2 linked regions of the Oryzias latipes genome follow. The protein of the gene in region 2 interacts with the protein of the main gene of each other region in a pairwise test. Links are inferred from orthologs where the notes say so. Each region holds a gene or a part of one and is shown on either strand. Other genes may lie near its edges.

Region 1 (4,464 bases), on a different chromosome or scaffold from region 2:
ATATTATATGCAGTACTCACTTCTAATGTATTTAATGAACAATTCTACACGAATGTAGGAACCATCTATTAGAGCAAATCAAAAGATAGAGCCTGATATATTTGGGCTACATTTACAAAACAAAAGCAAAACAATGAATTTAGTCATTCCCAGTAAGTGGTTAGCATTACAAGCGGCTGCACGTCTTCAGCTGGCGGGTGGCTTTTCTGTTAGATTGCTTTCATTAGCAACAGAGGACGACAGAGGACGGCAGTCGACGGCTGCATGGGTTCACGGTAGTCAGCAGCATCACGCCGTAGGAGTGGGAACAGGGAGCTCACCTGAAGGCGTCTGCTCCCTGACCACACAGCCTTCCTGGCATGGAGGACAGTCTGCCTGTAGCAGCAGAGACAGAAAGTGTAAACATTCCTCTCTTCCTCGCCGATATTCAGACAACACAGAACACTAGAGCGTTTTCACATGACGGGTGTCATTTCGCCTCACGAGGAGTCATCAAAAGGTTAAAACCTCACACTTTTTCCTTTCACTTTTGTTGCTTGATGTAACTCCAAAATGTAAAGAAATGCTTTGAGACGGTTCGTCTCTGAAAGCTTGAAAACCCCTTAAAAATATGAAAGAAGTGAAACATGAAACCCAAAACAGTAGCTGCGCATTTTATTTATTTAATTACTAAGAAATAAGTGTTAAAAAAATGAAAGACTAGAAATCTAATAAAAATTAAAGTGTTAATCACTAAAAAGTGGTTGTCTTTCAGAGGAAAGCGGGGCACTCCTCACTACCAGCACAAGGTGTTTTAATGTGTGCTGGCAAATACTGAGCAGTGGGATGAAAGAGGGACGCTGGCTTTGCTGGTGAAGCTCTCACACTCGGTGCTCCGGTGAGGGATTATTTTCTTACCACTGAACCTCAGCTCTTCACAAATCACCCCAAGCTCTAGAACGTCAGAATGATTTCCTAAATCACACACATATGTGACATCGGTGCCTTTACATTCTTCTTAAAGTCTATATGATTAAAATACACCAAGGTGATTTTTTTTTTTTTTTGCAATCAAAAAAAAACCTTATATTTTCACTCAACGTGCCTGACAGAAGAGGGGAAAAAACAGCTATTCTTGTTCCTAAATGCACACTCAGGCGACAGTGCAAGTGTTCTTCTCCGTGACACGACTGCGTCTCAACCCTTATAGAACGGTTATGTCAAACGGCAGGCCTGCAAATATTGTAAAGAAAGCTCATCCTCTGTTTTAAAGGCTGGGTCAGCATTTGTGAAGGTCTATTTCTGCATAAGTGAGCACACAGAGCCCAGAGCCTGTTCAAATAGTCTGCCGCTCTCTCTCAGGCTGCTCATGACAACAGCCCAGCAGCAGCACTGTTTGATCTCCCGTGTTTTCCTTAATCTGGGTTGTCAAGGTTCGCTTGTTGGAGGCTGTTTACTTTCCTTCTACAAAAAGACACTTTTTTTTCTCTCTCTCTCTCTCTCCTCAGACAATGACTAATCCAAAGACCAAAAAGGAGGGAACACTGCCAGCAATAGTTTTTTAAAGCAGTATTGTTTATGTCACATGTGCCGTTTAAAGGAATTCTGTCACACAGTCTTTAAATTCTCCCTCTGCAAGAGGTTCAAGGGAGGAACAAATGTCACTCTCTATTTTATTTATTTATAAATAAAATAAATGAGATTTCATTCTAAAAAGCAGGAGCTTATTAAATCATTCCAAATTAATAATCCTTGACAAATGGGTGTAATTTATTATTTTTATTAGAATAGAAAAAAAACGTTATTGAGTCTACAAAAGAGGAATTACCTTGTTACCATTATAGCTCTATTTAAAAAAAAAGAAGAGCGATAATAAAAAACACTTTGTAAAAATAATAATTGTCCAGTTTCTCTGATGTGTTGACACCAAATATCTGAAATATATTTAGAAAAAACTAACAGATGCATATAAAATATATTTTACAGTGTTTATGCTCTGATAGTAAACGTTACACAATCTTCTCGCTGTTGCATCATAGTTTTGTTTTATTGAATTTTAATTTAAAAATTATAATTCACGAGCAAACATTTTGGACACATTTTTGCTTCGATGTAGATGAACTGAAACGTCTGTTTGTGGTGTTTAATGTTCACAACAGAAAAAAAAAGCGAGTATAGTGTAGAAGTCGCAGCGCGTTGTGTTGCTGAACGGCTTTGTGTAGACTAGAGAGCTAATCATGTTGTAATGAATTGAATATCCGTTTCAGTTGGGCTGCTGAGTCTGCTAAGGCGCACAGAAACAGCAGCCTCCGGCCGGAGGACACTTCCATGAACTGAAGAAAAGTCTTCAAAGTTCGGGAAAGCTCCATCCATCCATCCTTCAAGTTCAGGCAGAAACCTGCTAACAGGTGGAGAGAAGCTCCATCCCGGGACCGACAAATCACGGCGCTCACGCGCGCTCCCTCTAGTCGGTTCTTTTCTCCACTTTTTCCTAGAAGCTTCGAACTTTGTTGACCCTCCAGAGCCCCTGCGGGGATTTGCACCTTCCACCACCGCGTGTCTCAACGGTCTTTGCTGCTCTGAAACTTCTGCGGCGCCGCTGAAACTTCAACTCGTTTTTGTTTGTTTGTTTGTTTGCCCAGAACAGGCTGAAACTTTGAACGGCTCGTCTGCGTGTCTGTCTGCCGCCGCCGCTGAATGCCGCGCAGCCCCACGAGCCTCGGCCAAAACACGCGAGCGAGCACCGCCAGAAGAGCCAAACTTACCGTGGAGGAAAACGCTTCAGCAGGCTAACCGGCGCACGCGGACGGTACCGATGGCTAACCCGTGCACGCGAGTTCGCTACCAACATAAAACCACACCGTAAAAACACCGATATTACTCTGCCCGCGAAGGGGGGGGGGGGGGTCACTAACTATCTAACTAACTAACTAACTTGGCTCCAAGCAGTAGAAAGTGATGCTTACCAAGGGCGTCGAAAACGAAGCAAAAGTCGGAGTTTGACTGTCGCCGCGTGCCGCTCTGACTCACAGGCACGAGCGCCTTTTCTTAATGTTATTAGATTTTTACACGCGGAAAGAAGAAGAGGAAAAGGGAAGAATCGCGGGTTTGATGTTATTGTTTTGATGTCCAAACCTCTGACGTCACATCCACCTGCTTTGTAAACAACTTTCATCGCTCTGCAGGGACTTTGTGGAAACATCATTTACCCGAACAATTCCAATAAAAGTCCTAAATTACTTCTAGTTACGGAAAATGGGCTGATTTGAAATAGTTTTGTTACAAAGTTAGATAAGAAAGAAAAGACACACCTGTAAAGACTAAAGTGAAAGCGTGAACTAGGATATATTTAGAGAAAACCTTTTCTTTTTAACCACTGATTAATACAATCGTGTTAAATGCTAGAAAATAAAATGACAAAAGTGCTGTTTACGTCAGAAATCTGTTTTAAATTTACGGCCATAATCTAGAAAAACTCTTCTGTTCATCCCGCTGGTTTATGAACAGATTCTAAGGCCTGAACTGTCTGCAGGAAAGCAACAATAGTCTGCTTAATAGTATATTGTTTTCTCCTTCTTTTTGTTTGTTTGTTTTTGTTAGTTAGTTGTTGTTTTCGTTTGTTTTATTTTGTTTGTTTTTCTTCGTTTTTAAAAATATATTTTTCGTCACATATTATTTAGATGAACATCTTATCTTATTTCTATCATCTGTATTTGTCACAGCTGGAAGAGACGCCTGCTGCAGGAAATGCAGAAAGCCGGTTTGTTATTGGAGAGCGCCACCGTGTGGCTACTTGTCAGTATGGAAGACAAATTCCAAAATCCACTGAAACACTAAAACAGCGCATGTTGTTTCTGAACACTTTTAGTCTAAGTGGCAGAACCTTCACTTTTATTCGAATGTAACATTTATTTCATTACATTTAGTATTGGTCCGTCGGCATTCCACCAAATCTTTATTTTAAAAATATAATATTGTATTTTACACTCATATCTTCATAATGTATGCTTTGGTCGACATTTTATGTAGCGGGAAAAATAAATGACAATCAAGGCAAAACCAGGGAAACAGGGCACAACTACATGGAGTTCAGTGACCATTTCAGTGAAGAGAGCGGAGCCGCAAAGGTTACTATTGGTTAAAGATTACTTGTGTCATGGCTTGGCAGGTCTCTGCTCCTCTGTCTCCCCCCTCTGGTTGTTTCTGTTATTGCTGTCCTGTGGCTTCTTTCTGCCACTCTCCTGACACATCTGCATCAGGGGTGTCCAAACATTTAGTAAAGAAGGCGAGATTTGGTGAGCTTTAACTGTCTGAGGGCCAACCATTCAACTTAAACTATTTTAATAAGATTAAATGCAAATGAACAGTTAAAGGGCCTTTATCACACAGACTCAACTTTTTGCACGTTTAAGTGTATTATAATGTTAATTCGTCACAAAAATAACCCCAAAGTGGTATTTTGATCTATTCACACATTTCTGAGTA
Region 2 (4,423 bases):
TCACTCAGTCCAGTTCCTATGTACATCAAAAGTCTGAACCAAGACAGCCCTTTAACAAAATCAGCAGCAAGAAAAGGCCCTGGTCCAGCAAGTTTATCCCCTGACCTGCAATTGTAGTAAAGGTCTGATTAAAGGTCAAAGGATTCAATATTCGTTGTTATTCTAAAAGGAACTGCTGCATTGGGTCTGCTAACTAAATCCAATCAAGGGCTATAAGATCCTAAATTGATTTTTGAATAAATCATGTTTACATATGTGATGTATTTATTCAATTTTCTAAATAAATTGAATCTAATCTAATTCGAAATGCTGTTCTTGAGTAAAACAATCTTTAAGAACCACTCCCATCATGATCTTTTGCAAAAGCGTTCCCAGTGGTCTTTAAATGATTGTGCAGTTTTTAGTCAAAATCAAAAAGCGGTGTCGTCTTTTAAGACAGTTTCTGCAGAGCGGCAGTAGTTCGTTAGAAATTCACCTCTGAGTTGTGGACAGGACTGTTGGTGCTGAGCAAGCCTGCTCCCACATCCCATCATCTATCTGTTTACACTTTCTCCTGCTAGTTTACAGCCCTCACACCCCCAACCTAACATTACCAGTGCAACAAAAATGACAAGCAATATTGAAGCAAGTGGACGCATTACACTAAAGTGGAGAAGGGAACGTGTGACTCGCTGTAGCATTTTTTCATTTATTCCTGATTCACAACAATTTGAATAAAGAAATACTAAGAAAGGCAATTTTGAGCTTTCCATCGTGAGAAAAACACCACAAGAATACCAAAAACGCAATTTTCATCAGAGTAGGTCTTTAACTTTGCAGTGAAAACCTTCAACAGCAGGCTGGTTCTGCCTGACAGTGAAGCCAAATGAGGAAAGAGTCTCTGATCAAGTGACAGGAGGCACAAGAAGCAGAAAACCCCCAAAGATAAATGCATTTGTTCAAAAACCTGATGGAAGTCCATAGCATTTATTTCATATAGGCTCCTCTCTGGAAGCCAATACCTTTGCTGATGTCCAGAGATTTAGAAAATTTGATATTTTTGGACTTAACAATGATGAAATGCCGTAAGAATCCCCAGATCTGCTCTCCTGCATGAGCAGCATCTCCCATCCAGCTTTCTGACCTAATATCCCACCAGCTGAGGACTCTGCGCTCTGATGGAGGGAAATAGCCTGGTTTAGACCGAGACCAGACTGCAATGCAGAGCTGGGAGGAAGGTTGCGTTCACGTGACTGCGAGGAAAAACGAGGATCCAGCATTAATTAGCTCTGACATGCAACCCCACTCCCAATGTCAACACCAGGTGGAAAGGAAGGTGGGCCGGAGCTGTGGAGGGACTGCCCCCCTGCAATAACACACAGGGCCTGCGCCACATCACCACCTCAAAGGTGCTGCTCTGCCTTTCCAGCTGTTTCTCCTAGAAGGTCACAAGGTGGAGATGTGCAGCTGTTTGCACCAGAGGAGAATACTCCTGACGTATTCCAATGAGGTTATTATATAAGGCTTATGTCACTGATGCATAATGTCCTGCCCCCCCCCCCCCCCAACCAGCTGATGGGCTCAAGAACAGCCCCCTCTGGTTACCTGGTAGCAAAATGCCGCACTAAAAACCCTCCACGCGGCTTTCCTGAGGAGAAACTACAAAATCACCGAGGATTGGAAGCGCGCAAAGCCTTCTGGGAAGCGTGCCCTTGATTAATGATACAGTTCAGGAATCACCGAATCAGATTCAGGCGCCCGGTTCACTCGGCGCCTGTCACCCCTCCTCTTTTTTATTACCTTTATAAAACCCAACTCCACAACTTTCAAAGAAAATATTTTTGTTTAAAAAAAAACAGCTACGTGAGCTGCGCAACTCTTTCAGCCATGCGCGCGCGAGCGTGCGTTTGTGTGTGTGGTGGTGGGGGGGGTTGAGCTCCCAAGTTGGGGTTCATTGGAAACGTGGTTGAGGGTTTTCCGTTCCCACCCCTGCCTTTCCTGGCGCAAACAGCCATTGGATTAGCGGCGGACCGAGGGGAGGAGAGCAAACCCAGACTGCGCCATTGTTAAAACGCCTCTAAAAACGAACGCAACTGACTCAAATACGTGACAATGTGGCCCAAAAAAAAGCTCGAACACGTCAGAGCACGCGCTAAAAACGCAACTCCGAGCGTCTGCTGACGTTTGTTTTCACCCAAAAAAAAAAAAAAAACCTCTTCAGTCGCTTAGTTTGCCCTTCTCGCCCCGGCACGTGCCATTGGTATCAACTACAGTATTTGACACAGCTGAAAATTACTGATTTCTAGGATACCTGAGAAGCCGGGGTTTTAATTGGAAAGTTACCCTGCAGAGTCCACCCTAGCGCAATCAGTTGCACTTACACCCGGTCGCCGGAAGGGGCGCCCTTCCCTTTGCCGTTACATGAACAAGCTTCAATTGTGTCAACAACAAACCCCAGATAAACGCACGCATCATTTTTGGAGCGGTTTCCTGTTGCTGAACGCCAGGTGTAAGCCACAAGCCCCGACCACACCAAATCTGCCCCCTCCCTGCACACCTCACAGCGGAAAACGCCAGTGCCCGCCGTCCGCCATTAGGGAGCCGACTAAACAATACTGTGGAGCCTGGAGGCGGCTGCAGTCACAGCACACGGAGCGTAAAGGGAAATGTCTGTAAAAATGTAACTACCAATAAAGCCTTTCATATGAATGCTGCTTTCGGGCTGGCTCTGAAGAGAATTCCCAGGAATGCCGCCAGAACCCCCACAAGTTCCCAAAACTTTGAGCAATTTGGCGTGAAAGTGGAATATATGGACAGGCTGGGGGGATCGCTTACCGGAGAAGATCTTGAAACGGTGTAGCGCCACTTTTGTGCCCTGACATTAATCCCGGGGAGCGCATGCGCACAACGTAGAACTTTCCACTTTACGTCTAGAGATCGTCTATCACGAAGATGACCCCTTTGAGTTCTGTGTCTTCTCTGACAGTCAAAGGAAAGCAATTTCTCACAATCTTTTCAGATTTATCACCCCTAATGACCGTTTTAATGGTCAAACAAGCCAAGAAAAAAAATAACTGCGTGAAGTAACAAACAAAACAGAAACAATCTATTTTCTTTAACCAGGGCCTTTTTAATCTTAGTTTCTTCTTTACAATTTGCTCAAATAATTTATCTTTAATACAGTTCTTGGGGCAATGCTTGATATCAATTTTTAGTATAACCCCAGATTCTTTTTCTTAAAAATATTTTTCATTGTATTACACAATAAGTCTGTAACAAACCTGAAACTGTCCAAAATTCTAAATTCAGAGTATACAAAAAATCTGTCACTTTTGACTGCAAAATTCGGATCAGTTTTGTGTTTTATAACAAAGACAAAACGTCTAGAGACAATTCACAAATGCATAAATCAATAAATAAGCAAAGACAAAATCAAAATAATGTGAAATATGTCCCAAAAACATTAGGCATAGCTTCACTCAAAGTTCCAAGAATTTATTCCAAGGGGCATCACAAATTTGTGTCATAACCTTCACATTGCATTTTGAATGAAAAGGATCCTAATAGGGGCGTCAATGCCATTCCTACGTCATTTTAAACAGCCTGTGTGATTGGCAAACTCACCAGTGAGTGCAGAGACTACTGAGGTTTAAAACAGGCAACTGAAGACAACTGAAAAGTCACTACAGATGCTGTCTTGGAACCAAAGCAAATTTTAGGGGTTAAATAATATATAAGGTACCTTAGCAGAAAACATCTAAGAGATCTAACTCATGAAAAAAATCAGAATTTAACAACCAAAGATGCCAAAAACAAACAACGGGAACTAAATGAATGAAAATGTTTTAAATTGAAGTAGTTCTGCCAATGCATCAGTAACTGTCTGATAAGAATAGCAGAACTTTGACCATAAACTTTTGAATTGAGGGAAACAATTAAGAGGCGTGGTTTTGTGCTCAAACACTGGTAACACGACTGGTGATGTGGTGCAAGTTAAAACAGTTGGAAGATAATCAATCCATATTTTAAGACACAGTTGACCCAATCCTACATTGACTCATCCATCCATTCACCCGTCCATCTGTTTAATTTCTGAACCTTCTCTATCTCTTCTGGGGTCAAGGTGTTGCTGGAGCCTATCCTAGCAAGGAAGGACAAAATGGTCGTAAAAATAGAGTTTGTGATGACTGTATGAGTAGATCTCTATATTTCCTGCTAAAGATACACACTACAGTAATCCCCCCGTATTCGCGAATGGGCGGGGCGCGAATATTAAACCGCGAATGGGCGGGGGATTACTGTATTACCAAAAGGATAAATGCAGATGTGAAGCAATGCTTCCTTAACATTACATTGTTTCTCCAGGGACGTTCATGTGAAAGAAATAAACTCCCCACCAACAAAAATGTGAGCATAATTTTAAAAGTTTCTTTTTCCACTCAAT

Evidence for each region.
Region 1: the proteins of zmym2 (region 2) and forkhead box protein P1-B come close enough for resonance energy transfer, tested with the Homo sapiens proteins (2 studies listed by BioGRID). The link is inferred for Oryzias latipes from reciprocal best matches to the Homo sapiens genes ZMYM2 and FOXP1.

What each region holds. Positions count from the first base shown.
Region 1 is NC_019863.2:6,332,827-6,337,290, reverse strand, and holds the start of forkhead box protein P1-B, read right to left. Parts: upstream 3,093-4,464; 5' UTR 2,946-3,092; intron 2,824-2,945; exon of another isoform or gene 2,745-2,823; intron 376-2,744; 5' UTR 321-375; intron 1-320. UniProt on the Homo sapiens protein: Transcriptional repressor. Can act with CTBP1 to synergistically repress transcription but CTPBP1 is not essential. Plays an important role in the specification and differentiation of lung epithelium.
Region 2 is NC_019879.2:11,194,246-11,198,668, reverse strand, and holds the start of zmym2 (zinc finger MYM-type protein 2), read right to left. Parts: upstream 2,991-4,423; 5' UTR 2,815-2,990; intron 1-2,814. UniProt on the Homo sapiens protein: Involved in the negative regulation of transcription.